Elephas maximus indicus: one gene and its partner. The protein of the gene in region 1 purifies or fractionates together with the protein of each later gene. This does not show direct contact. Links are inferred from orthologs where the notes say so. Each region holds a gene or a part of one and is shown in the gene's direction. Other genes may lie near its edges. The genes, in order: ITGA3 and CD9.

Region 1 (8,395 bases):
TCAGGATTAGAGGAAGACTCATTAACAACCTGTGTTAGGCAGATGACACAACCTTCCTTGCTGAAACTGAAGAGGACTTGAAGCACTTACTGATGAAGATCAAAGACTACAGCCTTCAGTACGGATTACAACTCAATATAAAGAAAACAAAAATCCTCACACCTGGACCAATAAGCAACATCATGATAAAAGGAGAAAAGATTGAAGTTGTCAAGGATTTCACTTTACTTAAACATACAGTCGACACGCATGGAAGCAGCAGTCAAGAAATCAAATGACACATTGCATTGGGCAAATCTGCTGCAAAAGATCTCTTTAAAGTGTTAAAAAGCAAAGGTGTCACCTTGAAGACTAAGGTGCACCTGACCTAAGCCATGGTATTTTCAGTTGCCCCATATGCATATGAAAGCTGGACAATGAGTAAGGAAGACTGAAGAAGAATTGATGCCTTTGATGGACGTGTTGGCGAAGAATATTGAATACACCACAGACTCCCAAAAGAACAAACAAATCTGTCTTGGAAAAGGTACAGCCAGAATGCTCCTTAGAAGCAAAGATGGTTAGACTTCGACTTACATACTATGGACATGTTGTCAGGAGGGACCAGTCCCTGGAGAAGAACATCATGCTTGGTAAAGTAGAGGGTCAGCAAAAAAGAGGAAGACCCTCAGCGAGATGAATTGACTCAGTGGCTACAATGATGGGTTCAAGCATAACAGAGACTGTAAGGATGGCGAAGGACGAGGCAGTGTTTCATTCTGTTATGCACAGAGTCACTGAGTCAGAGCCAACTCGACAGCACCTAACAACTACAACAACAATCTGTATGGAAGCAGATAACCAGGTCTTTTCTCCCAAGGAGACACTGGTGGGTTCGAACTGCCGACCTTTCGGTTAGCAGCTGAGCGCTTACCCATTGCACCAGCAGGGCTCCTTAATGTGGGCTTAGCCTGTTTCAGTTGAAGGACTTTCAGAACGTGGAGCCACGATGAAACCCTGGTCTCCCTGAAGAGACCCTCATTCATCTTTGGCACACCCCTGGGTACTCAGGTCTATGCTGGCACATAGTAAACTAAGTTGCGATCGAGTGAACTCCGACTCATGGCAACCCCATGTGTGCCAGAGCAGAACTGTGCTCCGCAGGGTTTTCAGTGGCTGGTTTTTTAGAAGTAAAGCACCAGATCTTTCTTCTGGGTTACCTCTGGGTAGACTCAAACGTCCTACTTTTCAGTTGGCAGCCTAACTCTTTAGCCATTTGCACCACCCAGTGGCTCCTCAGCACACAGGAAACCAAAAAACCAAACCCGTTGCCTTCAGGTCAATTTTAACTCATAGAGACTCTATAGGACAGAGTAGAACTGTCTCCACAGGGTTTCCAAGGATCAGCTGGTGGATTCAATGGCTGACCTTTCCGCTAACAGCTGTAGCTCTTAACCACTGTGCCACTAGGGCTCCCAGCACATAGTAGGTTGTCAGTAAATGAGGCCAACAGAGATCCTGAGCCACGGACCAGGCTCTCCTGCCCCACCCCTGGCTAGCTTCCACTCACATCTGGGTCAACGGAAGAAAGGAAATCTGATAAACCCATTCACACTTCACCACTCCTCCCTCCCCTCCCAGTAATTTGCATTTTCAATTCAACTCAGAGATAGTGACTGGAGTCTTAGTTCAACTGCAGAGATTTCGTCCACTTAGTTCAATAAATACTAGGAGCCTGGGGACGCACAATGCTGGAGCTGGCTGGAGAAGGATGGAGGGATTTTCTCCAGCCCTTTCGTTTTACTGACTCGACAGCAGTGGGTCTGTTTTTTTTTCTGTTTTTTTCATTTTGCAGATGGGGAAGCCGTGGCCCAGAGCAGGAAAGTCACCTGCCCAAGGTGAGAAGGTAGAAGAGCTGGGCTCTACACATATGGCACCATGATTCCACTCCACTGATATTCCTTCAGCACCTGCCTGTGCTCTTAACCCCTCCACTTCGTGCTAACCTTAAGGTAAGAGGGGAGACAGAGCCAAGTGGTGTCATCTGAGGCTCCGGGAGAGGAAGATGGAGTGGGGTGGGGGCCAGGCAGAGGAAGGCTGGTGTAAACACAGCAAGCACTAAATAAATGGAAGCTGCCTTTCTAGATACTGATGTTGCCATTCTTCTCGCTGGGAAAACTTCACTCCAAATCAGGCTTCGACTTTTGCCTTTCTTCTATCCCGAGGCTCCTTCTTGCTAGTCCTTTTTTTCTCCAACCTTATTTAGACACTCCTCTTCCAGGAAGCCTGCCCTGACCTTCCCTGACCCTACAGCAGAGCCCATGGTTTGCATGTTATTCCCGTGTCCTGTTTCTCTGTCTCTGTCTGCATTCCTGGGTGGGTCCCCTCTCCATGAGGAAGAGCTAACATGAAACCAACTGAGGCATGAGATGAGGCTGTGGATGATAATGGACTGAAGCCAGTGGAGTTCAGACCTTTGAGGTGAACTTGGTGCTTCTCTTTCTGCATCTCTCCGGCTCAGACCCTTCCAGTCTCTGTGTCTCCCTCCACCCTCATTCCAGCCCCCAGATCTGTCTGACACTCCCCCACATTCCTCAGCATGAGCCCTCTACCTACCAGTCGCCCCTGCTCCCACCCCCACATTCTCTCTAGACACTCTGCTGGAGTGGAAAAACCAGCCCTCAACCCTTTCCTGCCCCAGCTCCAGGATCGGACATGCTGATCATTCTTGTTTGGGATGGCCAAAGAGATAAAGACTGGCATGGTGTCAATCTGTCATCCCAGGACTCTCAGAGATGTTTCAGATACGACCCCTGTCCACACTGGGTGTCCATGTTGGACCCCTGCCCATCTGGCCCTGGCTGGCTCCTATTCTGCAGGAAGGAGGTGAAAGAACAGCAGCCAACCAGAGGGAGGGCAAAGGCTACAGGTCATCTTCCTGTTCCTTGACCCCAGGTGTCTCCTAACCTCTAGAGGCCCTGGGGGATCCAAGAGGGACCAGAGAAAGGCTGCATGGCTCTGAGAGTTACAGCTCAGGAACAAATGCTCTCTGAAGGGCAGACAAGGACGAGTGTCCTCTCCCCAAACACCACACAAAAAGCTGTTATCGCAGCTGTTTTTGTTTAGGTGTGTCTGGCCATCTGGCCAACATCTGCCTAGAGTTTGTCACTTAAAGACACAGCTGTGCTCAGCAGCTTTCAGTCCTAGCTCTACCGCCCACAAGCTGCGTGACCTTGGCCATCCAGGTAACCTTCAGAGCCTCCATTTCCGCTAAGTCAAATGAGGACGATAACCCTGACCTCACAGGGATGCCAGGAGGATGAAATGAGAGTCAGAATATGAAATGATTCATAAACTGTAAAATTAGACTCTGGGCTTTATATCTAATTTCGTATTCATAATTCTTTTTCTTAAAGAGAGCCCCCAAATTGTACAAGCTTCAGGCCTCACCAAACCTGGATCTGCCCTGAGCATTGTACAAATGTTAATTATTAGCGTAAGTGGTTAAGAAAAAGGACTCCAGGGTCGGATAACACAGGATCAGAACCCTACCTCTATGGCCTTCACCAAGCTCCTTAACCTCCGTGAAGTTCAGTTTCCTCATCTTTAAGATGGCAATAACACGTTCCCTTCCTGTTATCAGGAAGGGCCAGTCCCTGGAGAAGGACATCCTGCTTGATAAAGTACAGGGTCAGAGAAAAAGAGGAAGGCCCTCAACAAGATGGATTGACACAGTGGCTGCAACAATGAGCTCAAACATAGCAACAATTGTGAGGATGGCGCAGGAGTGGGAAAGGCTTCATTTGTTGTGCATAGGGTCGCTATGAGTGGAACCTACTCGATGTCACCTAACAACAACCACAGAAATGGAGATAACACCTCAGAGATCATTTTGAGGATTTAATGACTTTTGTAAAGCACTTAGCATAGTTCCCACCGTATAACTGCTTAATGCATGGTATGTTTCTCCTTATTATTATAAACTCCCAGACATTGGGGCTGAAGGCTGAATTTCAAGGGAGTGGACACTGAGGGATAGACTCCTGGACCAAAATAAGAAAGCATCTTTAGCCAAGAGAAGAATGCTCAGAGAATGATGGGTCTTTGTGCTGCAATAATGGAAATCTGTGTTAGACTCAAAGTACATAGCGACCTATTGAAGTTCCCTTCCAGTTTGATCTTTTCCCCATAACCAGACCTTTGGGCCACACCCACCTATCTCTACCCGGCGCTTCCCACTACACCTGTGGTGGCTCAGCGTCCTCACTCAGTCTCCAAACGTTCAACCCAAACCTGGATGGGAGGAGGAGACTCTTGGGATTCTGCCAGGCTGGGCCCTGAAAGCAGGAGTGACTGAGAAATGGATACAGTCTGGGCCAGGCTCCACCGCCTTGAAGTGCCATCGAAGGAGAAGCTCCACACCGACAGGTTTACAAGGGATATCCGAGGACGCAGCCCTCTTGGGAAAATGCTGTCTGGCTGCTAATTATAATTAGCAATTATTGATGTTTGGTTGTTAACACTGCTAAATATCTGTCTGGCTTTGCCGAGGGCCTATTCCCGGTCAGAGGGGTGGGCCAGAGAAATAAATCTCGACCAGGAAGTCCAAGAGGCTGGGTGCGAAAAGGAACTTCCAGAGACCGCTAGCCACGTCTCAGGGACTCACAGCGCCGCAGAGGCGACCCCAGCACTCCCGGCAGGCGCGCGCGGACGTCGGTTCCCAGACGCGCCAACGCCGGCGCTCTCCGGCGGTCAGATCGAGGTGGCTGCAACTGGAACGGCGTTTTCAGCAGTGGTAGCAGCCGCAGCAAAGCGGCGGGACAAATCCTACCTCCGGCCCCGACAGTCCAATCCATTTTGCTTGGAAGAAGACGCTTCCTGGGAGCAGCAAGGCGCGGGGAGGGGAAATCCAAGCCTTTGAGGGCCCCCGGACAGGTGTTTGGGGGGGAGGGCGGAGTCGGGGAAGGGAGGATGAGGAGGGAGGGGCGGTGCTGCCCCTTTAAGAGGCGGTGGCCGAGCCGGGATCTTTTCTCTTTCCCCGGAAGGAAAGCGGAGCCGGGCTGGGCGCGCAAGGTGGGGAGGTGCGAGGCTGGGCGTGGGAAGGCGGGGCGCGCGCGGGGGAGACCCCTCCCTCCCGTCCTTCTGGTGGTGGACCGGTCCGCCGACCCAGATCTGCTGCCGACCCAGATCTGCCGCCGAGCCCGGATCGAAGGCGACAGCGCGGCCAAGGGGGCGCGGCTGGGACAAGCTGGGAGGCCGGGGGCCCGGGGCGAGAAGCGGTGACCCTGTGTAGGGGGAGACAGGAGACTAGATCCGCGGGCGGAGCAGAGGGATCGGGGAGCGCTGACCCTGAGCGGACGTGAAGGACCAGGGCTGGGAGCAGGGAACTGATCAGTACCGCAGGCGCAACGACGCGGAGGGCCCGAGTGTCCCGGGCTGCACCCGGAGCAGGTGGAACGGGTCCTCCCTCCCAGCTCCGCTCTCTCACGCGCTTTCGCCCGGCCCCGGTCTCCCGCTCGCAGCCATGGGCCCCGGCCTGCGCCGCGCACCCGGTGCCCCGAGCCCAATGCTCTGCGCCCTCGCCTTGATGGTGGCCGCCGGCGGCCGCGTCGCCTCCGCCTTCAACCTGGACACCCGATTCCTGGTGGTAAAGGAGGCCAGGAACCCGGGCAGCCTCTTCGGTTACTCGGTCGCCCTCCATCGGCAGACCGAGCGGCAGCAGCGCTACCTGTAAGTGTGGCTGGCGGGGGTGGGGGAGGGAGTGTGTGTGTTGTGGGGTACCGATCAAGAGCGGATTCGGAACCCTGGGCCCGCATACTTCCAGGCCTGCTACCGCCGAACCCTGCGAACGGAGGGGTTAAGTGGCAGGGAGCCGGATAGCCCTCCGGCTGGTGTTGGGCGGGAAACTGAGGGATTGGGTGTGGGGTGAGGGACAGTCGTCATTGGCAAGTGCTGACCGGGCCACAACGTGCCTAGGCGGAGCCTCCTTGGCCTTTAGACCTCTCCTGAGAGCGGAAGTGGGGTCTTCGCTGCTGAGTGTCTTTCCGTTCTGTGAACCAAGCGCTGAGCAATAGCCTCTTCTTCCAGAGCTGGGAGCTGGGGCAAACTGCAAGATAAACACCTAGTGGGACCCCTCTTCCCCCCCAACACACGCACATGGAAAGTACCTATGGACATATGCATTTAAACCCACTTCCTCCGCTCCTGACACCTCGAATTTAGTCTGTGGCCACTCAGCCAGCCACACCCTCTGCAGAGCCAGACTGGAGGGCCTCCTCCACCACCACCTGGGGGTTGGAGGGTGAGATGATGGGTAAATCTGGGCGGTTGGAAATGTCAAAGCGCCCAAGCAGACCCCTTAAGGTTGTGGGGAGTAGATGAGAGAGGAGGGGCTGCCCCAACTTCTACTCATCTCCTGCCCTCCCCCCACACACAGCCAGCAGTGGCGCTCTCCCCACCAGACATCATCCCGGCATTCCACAGATTCATGTTGAATCTTCAACCCTGAGTGTGTTTGTTTTGGTTTGAAGAGGGAAATGGTGTTTTTCTCTTTCTTCTGGTCTCCTTCCCCAACAGCTGCAAGAAGAAGGAGAGGGAGGAGCTAGACATAGGGAACAGAGGGGAAGGAGATTGCAACCAGCTGCTTGCCACCCCCCCATTCCCACCACACACACACACACATACACGCACACACATGCGCAGGCACATACGAGCACACACACATGCCCAGAGGGACATGTCTAGGTCTGGGAGGTTTCTCTGCCATGGGCTTCGAGCATGCTGAGGTTGGCAGTTGGGGGAAGAGGCATCTAGAGGAGGTGAGGCTGCCCAGCGAAGGCCAGTAGTTAGGACAGGCCAGGCAGGTCTCACCCACCTCTTTGGGCTGAGTGACCTGGCAGGAGTCTACCCCTACCTGGCCTCTCACTCACTACACTGAGCTAGAGGATGTGGTCAGATCAAGGGTGTCTTAAAATTCCTCCCAGTTCTGCCTGGAGCCTGTAGAAACTGAAGGAAGCTTAGAATGTTCAAAGTCCAAGCTCTGCCACAGCCTTGGCCCCTGCCCTGCGGGCCCAGCCCCTGCCCTGCCTGCCTACCTGGACTTGGCTTCAACTCTGTCCAGCTTCTGCAGAGGCTGCAGCTGCCACACCCTACCCAGCTTGGCCCCAGCAGCTGAGATGTGGCCTTGGCCACTCCTCCATTTTTTTTGAGACCCTAAGTGACCATTGGAAACCCTGGTGGCGTAGTGGTTAAGTGCTATGGCTGCTAACCAAAAGGTGGGCAGTTCAAATCCTCCAGGCGCTCCTTGGAAACTCTATGGGGCAGTTCTACTCTCTCCTATAGGGTCGCTATGAGTCGGAATCGACTCGATGGCACTGGGTTTAGTTTTTTGGTTTTAGGTGACCATCAGCGTAAGTTTCTATATTGGTGCTCTCTCTACACCTGCCCAGAAAAAAATTTGATTTGACTTGATGCTGAATCTGCACAAGGAAGCAAAAAATCTGAGTGTAAATTATTCTGTACCCACCCCCTTTGCTGTGTGACCTTGAGCAAGATATTTCCCTTCTCTGGGCCAGTTTTCCCCAGAGGGGTTGGACCTGGATCCATATATTCCTTCCCACCTCTGTTGTTCTATGGGAGGCAACTTGACGTTGTGGACGGAGAAGAGGCTTGGGAGTCCCAATGCCAGTGAGCTGTCTGGGGTCTATCCCTAATAACTAAGCCTGAATGCCGCCGTATATCTGTGGGGGTGGGGAGTGGACAGCACCCTTTCTCATGGGGTGGTACCAGATGCCATCAGGTCGATGCCGACTCCTGGTGACTCCACGTGCGTCAGAGTAGAGCTGTGCTCTGGTTTTCAGTGGCTGATTGCCAGGACTTCCTTCTGAGGTGCCTGTGGTTGGGTTCAAGCCACCAACCTTTTGGTTAGTAGCCCAGCCCTTCACCAATCTTGATGTGGTGATGTTGTTGTTGTTATGGGCCATCAAGTCGATTTCAACTCCTAGCGACCCCATGTGACAGATTAGAACTGCCCCGTAGGGTTTTCTAGGCTGTAATCTTTATAGAAGCAGATCACCAGATCTTTGTTCCGCAGAACCTCTGGGCAGGTCTGAACCACCAACCTTTCAGTTGACAGCTGAGGTGAGAGTGTAGTTTAATAAAACAATATGTCTAAAGGGCTCTGAACAGCTTATATCTCCAGGGAGTGCTGAAGGCCCTTGTGTCAAGGCCAAGTCTCTGATGCACTCCCATTACTCACCAACCTCACCCAAGATGGTTCAGCGGAGGGGTTCTGCTTCTCTTCCTTGAGGGCTAGTGATGACAACTAGGCCTGACAAGAGCCCAAAAGGTTCTAAAGCTAATTGTTTGCTGCTTTCTGAACATCTGAGAGGCAGGCAGTTCTAGGTAAAGTTCTGGG
Region 2 (7,849 bases), on another chromosome or scaffold:
ATTGACTTGAAGGCAATTAACAGCGTGGACCTAGAGATATCATTCTTTACCTGTGTTTTACTGACTACAGAAAGGCATTCAACTGTGTGGATCGTGACAAATTATGGATAACATTGCCAAGAATGGCAATTCCAGAATATCTAATTGTGCTCATGCGAAACCTGTACATTGACCAAGAAACAGACTTTGGACTAGAGAAGGGAGATACTGCATGGTTTAAAATCAGAAAAGGTGTACATCGGGCTTGTATCCTTTCGCCGAACTTATTCAGTCTGTATGTTAAGCAAATAATCTGAGAAGCTAAACTTACAAATACGAAGAACTTGACATCAATATTGGAGGAAGACTCATTAACAACCTGCATTATGCAGAGGACACAACCTTGCTTGCTGAAAACAAAGAGGACTAGAAGTATTTACTGAAGGTCAAAGACTACAGCCTTCACTATGGATTACACCTCAACATAAAGAAAACAAAAATCCCCCCAGTTGGTCCAATAAGCAACATCATCATAAACAGACAAAATATGGAAGTCGTCAGGGATATCATTTTACTTGGATTAACAATCAAAGCCCATGGAAGCAGTAGTCAAGAAATCAAATGACATATTGCATTGGGCAAATCTGCTACAAAAGACCTCCTTGAAGTGTTAAAAAGCAAAGATGTCACTCTGAGGACTAAGGTGTGCCTCACCCAAGCTATGGTATTTTCAATCACCTCATATGCATGTAAAAGCTGGACAATGAACAATGAACACTGAAGAACTGATGCCTTTGAATTATGGTATTGGGGAAGAAAATTGAATATACCATGGACTGCCAGAAGAACGAACAAATCTGTCTTGGAAGAAGTACGGCCAGCATGCTCCTTGGAAGCTAGGATGGGGAGACTTCATCTCACATACTTTGGACATGTTATCAGGAAGGACCAGTCCAGTCCCTGTAGGAGATCGTGCTTGGTAAAGTAGAGGGTGAGCGAAAAAGAGGAAGACCCTCAACGAGAGGGACTGACACAGTGGCTGCAACAATGGGCTCCAACATAGCAACGGTTATGAAGATGGCACAGGACCAGCAGTGTTTCATTCTGTTGTACACGGGGTCACTATGAGTCAGAACCCACTTGACAGCACCTAACAAACAACAACAGCAGTTTTTTCTTGAGCAACAAGAACAATAGCTAACATTTCTTGAGCACCTTTGTGGCAGGCACTGTAGAAAGCCCCACGTGTGGATTAACTCATTTAATACTCACAAGTCCCCTAAGAAATAGTTTTTTTTATAAATTTATTTACTGAACTCCTCCCACCTGGAGAATGGTAGAGATAAAATCTTTTCTTTCCTTGACCTGTCTCCCTAGGTAGGTTGGGCTCCTGCAGAGAACAGCACAATGGGACATTGTTTTTCTATTTCCCCCTCAGGGCCTTGAACACTGCGGGGCAGGAACAATGGTCAGTGGACCCTGGATTAGCTTGAATAACAATTAAAACATTACTGAAATTCCTCTGCTAGGCCACTAGTGGTGTAGGCTCAATTTAAGGGAACTCGTTTTTCTCAGCTTCTTCCTTGTCCTCCCTTTAATCTCCCACGTCCCGCTATTGGTAGTTTCCCTGAGCAGCCAGCCAGCCAGTGTGTGGTTTCATGTTTCTGCGCCTCAGTGCAAATAATTGCCTCTGCCTGGAATTCCCTCCTCTGTCTTACATCCTCACAGTCAGCATCAGTGCCCTCTGCTCTGGGGAGCCTCCTCTGACTCAGCAGACGTGGAGCCTGTACCCACTTGTTCCTGACCACATCCCTCTCAGAGAAAAGATCCCATGTACTTGTCCTTGTCTGTTAATGGGTCTCTCACCCTACCCGGAGATTCGTCTCTGTAGCCACAGCATCTGGCACAGTATGTGACACATAGTAGGTTCTCAATAAACATTTAAAGAAGAAAAATGAAATGAAGCCCTCCATAAACTGGCTTCTGCCATTCTGCCTCTGCCCTCTTTTCCTTACCCTCTCCCCCTCCCACATCGACTCTCCATCAGGTTTGGCCGTACATTCTCCAGCCTTCATCCCATCACCCCACCTTAGTTTAGTCCTCCACATCTCTCACCAGGACAGTTCAGCAGCTTCCTACCTGATCTTCCTGCTTCAGCATCTCCCCACACCGCCCCCGCCCCCTGTAGTACAGCACACACAAACAACCAGCTATCCCTATCCATCCGGGTCGTCTGCCATCCTCTGCTCACCAGCCCTTAGGGCTCCCCACTTGATCCTGCACAACTGAAGACAGAGGGCCTCTCTACTCTGTCCTGGCTCACCATTCATTTCCCACTGCTCCCCTTACATCACCCCCTTGCAGCTCTCCTGATACACCTCCCGACTTACCGTCCAATCTCCAGAAGGTCTGGAGATACAATGTCCTTTATCCTTAAGGAGTTTACTCCTTGCCCCTCCTACCCTCCACTACCCACCTACCTAACATACAGGTAGGAATCTACCTAAAACCCACAGCTGATCAAACCACTCCCAGCTTCAACCCTGACCTACCCCCTCGCTCTCAAGTGCAAGGTCCAGGACCTGGAGGCTCTTCCTCACCTCACTCCTACCTAGGTCTCCACCTTCACTTACCCCCACTCCTACCCCAATTGAGAGCCCAGGTTTCTCCCTTGCCTGTAACTTTCCCTGTGGTTCCACAGCATCGCTTCCCAATCTGGGTCAGAGGTCCCTCCTATGAGCTCACTTAGCCCCTAAACCTATCTCTATGATGCCACAGGGTCACCCTTATCCCATTGTCTGACTGGGTATTTGCCTCCCCCAGCAGACTCTGAGCTCCAGGAGAGCAGAAACAGGACCCATTCATTTCCTTCAGCCCCTGCAACCTTACAAAATATCCTTCATAAGATAGATTCTGAAAATGGTTTTTGAATGAATGAATGAATGAATCTATCAATGAATTAATCGATGAGACAAATTTTCAAATGATAATAAATAGAGCAAAGTAAGATTACAAAGTGCTAACAGTGGCTGTTTCTGGTGGGTGAAATCTTGAATTATGTGCTTTTTGCTTGTTGGTATTTTCTGATGTTTCTGTAATCAGTATGTTTTACTCTCCAAATAAAGAAGAACACCAAAGGAAACTTCATTTTGGGGGGGGGGAAATACAAGAATTTTGGGACTTCAAGAGAAGGGGAATTTCCTCACCGAGTCGTGAGAATCAGAGGAGTGTTTAAGGAGCCATAGAATTTCTACAATGGAAGGTGGGAGGGGAGGCCAGCCAGCCAGAGAGCACCCCACGTGCAGAGCTGGGCTGTACGATGGTAAATAGGGCAGGGTGGGCCTCAAGTGTTATGAACAGGGCCTTGAATGCCAGGATGAGAAACTTCGACTGCCATCGGTGCTGGACAGCTGGAGCACTAAAGCGGCAGCAATGGCAGAATCAGGACAAGACCAGACGTGGAGGATGGGGTGGAAGAGTCCCGGCAAGAACTGGCTACAAACTTTGATTCCCTCTGGGGCATCTAAGGAAACCTCAGTGGCCTAGCGGTTGAGAGCTAGGGCTTCTAACCAAAAAGTCAGCAGTTCGAATCCACCAGGTACTCCTTGGAAACTCTCTGGGACAGTTCTAGTCTGTTCTGTAGGGTTGCTATGAGTCGGAATCAACTGGATGGCAATGGGTTGTTTTGGTTGGGGCATCTAACCCACACATCCAGGAAGCGCTCCTGGAATGCCCCAACCCTCAGCCATATTACTATTCGGTGACTGGTATTTGATAATTATTTCCACACGCCTCCGATTAGTAGTCTCACCTGGACAGCAAGTCTCTAATTCCTCCTACTCCGCAAGACGTGTCAAAAAAAAAAAAAAAAGAATATGCTCAAAGAGTGAAGGGTTGCAAGGAGCCGCTCAGGGGAGAAATAAAGCCAGGGAACTGCCCTTCGAATTGGCCAAAGCGAAAAGAGCCCTCGTTCACCTGGCAGGTGGCCTTGGCTAAGGGCCTTTAGCCCAAACGACCGGCGGAGGATCTCCCAAAGGAGAGGGTTCGGCGGGAAGCCCAGAATCAACAAAGGGTGGCCCTGAAGGGAGAGGCCTCCCCGTAACTCCTTGGTAAAAGTGGCTGGGAATGGCGGTATGGAAAAACCCAAGGGTAGTCGGGAGGAAAGAGAAGACAGCAGGGCACGGCCAAGTCGTGGGGAGAGGGACAGGCTGGAGGGAGGAGGGGAAAGAGTGCAAGGCGGATTCCGAGCTGCCGCCAGGGCCGGAGTCTGTTTGAACCTGGGTGGGGCGGGCCGCATAGCGTGGGCGGGGCAGGTGGGTGGGCGGGGCAGGTGGGCCCGGCGAGGGGGGGGGGGCAGGACCATTGCACATGCGCACCGCACCCAGTCGCGCGCCTTAAGGAGTGGCACTTTTTAAAAGTGCAGCCCGGAGAAGGACTCGCAGCCGACAGCATCTCTGTCCGACGCGTGGTCTGCCTGGCCCGGTCCAGTCTAGTCCCGCATCCGTCCGCCCCAGTCCAGTCTAGCTTGCACCATGCCGGTCAAAGGAGGCACCAAGTGCATCAAATACCTGCTCTTCGGATTTAACTTCATCTTCTGGGTAAGTGAGCGCGACTGCCGTGCGCTCCTCCCCGGGACCACCTGTTCCCGGGCCGGAGGCCGCGCGCACGGGTACACTGTCCGCGTCCGGGGGTGCCAGGCGGCTGGGGGCGCCGACGGCTGGCACTGCCCGCGCTGGGCAGACACCGACGGGGAATAGAAATGGCTCTGTGGCCGCCAGCTGGCTTTCGTCCGGGTGCGGAGACGGGCGGGGCGGGCACTTTGGTGAGGGACTCATCCGAAGCGAGCAGGCTGGGAGAAGGTGGGGGTCTCAGTGGGCTGGGACTCTGGATACGGTCCTGGCCCTCTCCTTTGCTGAGGGATTTGGACTGGAGTTTGTTTGCTCCCACCCAAGCCCCTCCGAAGGCAGGAAGAGAAGATGACAGGTAGAAAAAGAGCACCCCTCTTCCGGCAGCTCAAGGCCCCGGCCAAGGACGACGGGGGTGCAGTTCTTGACCGGGATGGGATTTCACAAGTGGTATAGGCGTCCGGAGGGGACGATGTGGGCGCTCTGAGGGACTTGGTGGCGCCGGGAAGGCTCAGCGAAGAGCTGTTGACACGTTTACACTGGAGGGGAAAGGCGGCCGGCCAGGGGGGTCCGCCCTCCGAGGCTCACTCTCGGAGTGAGAGTTGGGCATAAGGTCTTTTTCCGACTACCCCTGGGTGGGCAACAAAGTGGAGACCTATAGCCCCTCCACTCCCAAGGAGGAACCTGGCAGGCCTGTTCTCTCAAACTTTGATTCTGAGTCGCTGTTAGAAAGCTCGAGCTCCCTCAAAGCTACCTGAAAGACTAGTTTGTCTTGGTTTTTTCTCCAGGGCGATAAGTATCTTAACAGGAGAGAACTCTGGGAGAGTTGGGCAGAGGAGAGGCCCGATGCCCGATGCCTGATGCCTGTCCTCACCTCCAGCGGGTTAAATCCTGTGTTTCTCCGTTTCTGGGAGAGCTCAGGTGCAGGCCTCCTGCTGCCCACCCAGGAATCCCTCTGGCCTCTCCCCCTCCCCTTTAGCCCACCAAGCAGCAAGGCAGGGTCACAGAGAGGAGCACACCTGGGCAGAAAGTCCCAGAGACACCTACAGCCAACCACAGAGAGCATTTCTGCAAATGGGAAGGCAACAAAAAAGGAGAGTGTCCACCCCACACCTTCCCTTAGAAGATTAAGGGACTGCCCAAGGACAGAAGCAAGGAATAGATCTCCTTCTGACCTGGTTCTGAGGCCAGTTCCTCTGCATGCAGGTGGACAACATTTGCCCCTCTAGAGCAGGAAGGGCTTTGGCAGGGGAGCCCTTGTGACACTCAAGGGAGATGGCCGAGGAAACGGGTACATGAAGAGAAAGCTGGTACATGAATGGAGACCTTGCCACCACAGGCTTGTCCCAAAAAGTGTGCTTGTTCCCCTAGGGCTGGTCACAGGGGTCCCCAGGAACCTTGGGGTGAATCTAAGATTTAATCCTCTCCCCAGAGCTGAAGAGGTGGTAGGAGAGCAATTTTCCAGCCTGCAGAAACTGGCCTGCCCCTGCAAATCATCACACCCAACACACACCCTGGGGAGAATGGCATGTAGGTGTGGCCCTACCCAGCCCTTGATCTGCTTTAGGGAGACCCTAACTGCAGTTGGCACTCCCTCTTCCTGGTGTTCCCACCAGGACCCAGCCAGCTGCCAGGCTGGGCAGCCTTCTCTCACCAAAACCCTGGCACCAGAAAAGTATGTTGGAAGGCTGGCTGGGCCCACCGCACCCCACCCCACCCTTGTCCTTTGGGGAGTTTTCTCCTCGCCTCGCTAGCACAGTCTCTCCCCGGCTAGGCTAGTCTGTTAACAACTGTTAGTCAGTCCTCAGCTATCTGCCTGCATTGCATCAGGGTTTGAGGGTAGAGGGATACCATTGTGTATGCCTCCACACACACCCCCAGCTGCCCCATGACATAGGGAGGAGCCTGATGGAAGGCTTCCAGGGCCACCCCTATATCTGCTCAGTATCTTGCGTAAAACCAGTTGCCGTCAAGTCAGCTCTGACTCATGGCAACCCTATGTGTGTCAGAGTAGAACTGTGCTCTGTAGGGTTTTGAAAGGCTTATTTTTTGGAAGTAGATCCCCAGGCCTTTCTTCTACTCGGGGTGGACTTGAACCTCCAGCCTTTCAATTAGCAACTAAGCACGTTAACCATTTGTACCACTCAGAGACTCCTAGTCTCTTGCCTAATGGCTTGCAGTCTGTCAGTACTATCCCCAGCTTGCCCCTCCACTTGTGTTCAGAGCTGCCCTGCCTGGGCCAGGTGCTGCTGGTCAGCTATGTAGTCTGAAACAATGATTCAGTCTCGGAACATTTGGGTTTCGAGTTGGGGAAGACATTAGAGATCATCCACTGCACCCATCTTATTCACAGGGAGAACGCTGAGAACCAGGGCGGGGGGCAGTTTACCCGGGATCACACAGCTAGTCAGAGACCAAGCTAAGACTGCAACTTCTCAGTCCTTTACTTCAGTTCTGTCCTCTTGGTCTCCATCACAAAATCACCAAGGGATCTGGTAATGGACTGGGGTAGGCAGCTGAGCAGTTGCTATGATTTTCTGAGTTAATTATTGTTCCGCCGCCACATACTGCAGTCTATAGAGGTGAAGCCCCATCTCCCAGGAGATAACGGGATAAAGGGGTATTGTGATCCACTGTGTACAGAGTATTACAGTTTTCAAAGTCCTTTCTTTTCCAAGACCTTGCATGTGACCCATGATACAGCCATAGCAGGAAACATCATCCCCATTTTACTGATGATTCGAGAAATTAGTCCCCAGAGAGGTTAAGTGACTTATCCAGGGTCACACAAGAAGCAGGATGGATTCAGAAGTCTACTTGAAGGCAGGTCAGGCTGGTTCCAAGTCCAACACGCTTTCTATCGCAGCAGCATGCTGTCTGACCCAGCCAGGTTTGGCTGCTAGGTGGAAGTGGTAGAAGGGTGAGGACAAGCTGTCAATATATATATATATATATATATTTTGAGTTCCTTAAGTTTAAAAAATATATTTTAAGGGAATCTTTTTTTTTTTTTTTCCTATGATCTAAGGGAACTACTTGGATGATTATGAAGTCATCACTTCCCTTTCTGTCTTGAGACCAGGAGCTTAAAAATTTGGCATTTGGGACCTAATATGGGCCTTGAAAAGTTGTTGTGGAGCCAGGAGCCAGCAGTGCCTCGTGAGCAGGGGACCCCGGTCTGGCAGAGTAGGAGCCAGCCTTGGTGGCAGTGGGATAGTCAGGTGGGTACCGCTTTCCTGGCACTC

Evidence for each region.
Region 2: the proteins of ITGA3 (region 1) and CD9 purify together in Homo sapiens (affinity purification with western blotting; 3 studies listed by BioGRID and IntAct, with this or other methods). This does not show direct contact. The link is inferred for Elephas maximus indicus from reciprocal best matches to the Homo sapiens genes ITGA3 and CD9.

Annotation. Positions count from the first base shown.
Region 1 is NC_064837.1:43,578,857-43,587,251, reverse strand, and holds the start of ITGA3 (integrin alpha-3), read left to right. Parts: upstream 1-5,034; 5' UTR 5,035-5,052; exon of another isoform or gene 5,053-5,060; intron 5,061-5,501; 5' UTR 5,502-5,503; coding exon 5,504-5,709; intron 5,710-8,395.
Region 2 is NC_064822.1:62,978,087-62,985,935, forward strand, and holds the start of CD9 (CD9 antigen), read left to right. Parts: upstream 1-4,377; 5' UTR 4,378-4,511; coding exon 4,512-4,577; intron 4,578-7,849. UniProt on the Homo sapiens protein: Integral membrane protein associated with integrins, which regulates different processes, such as sperm-egg fusion, platelet activation and aggregation, and cell adhesion.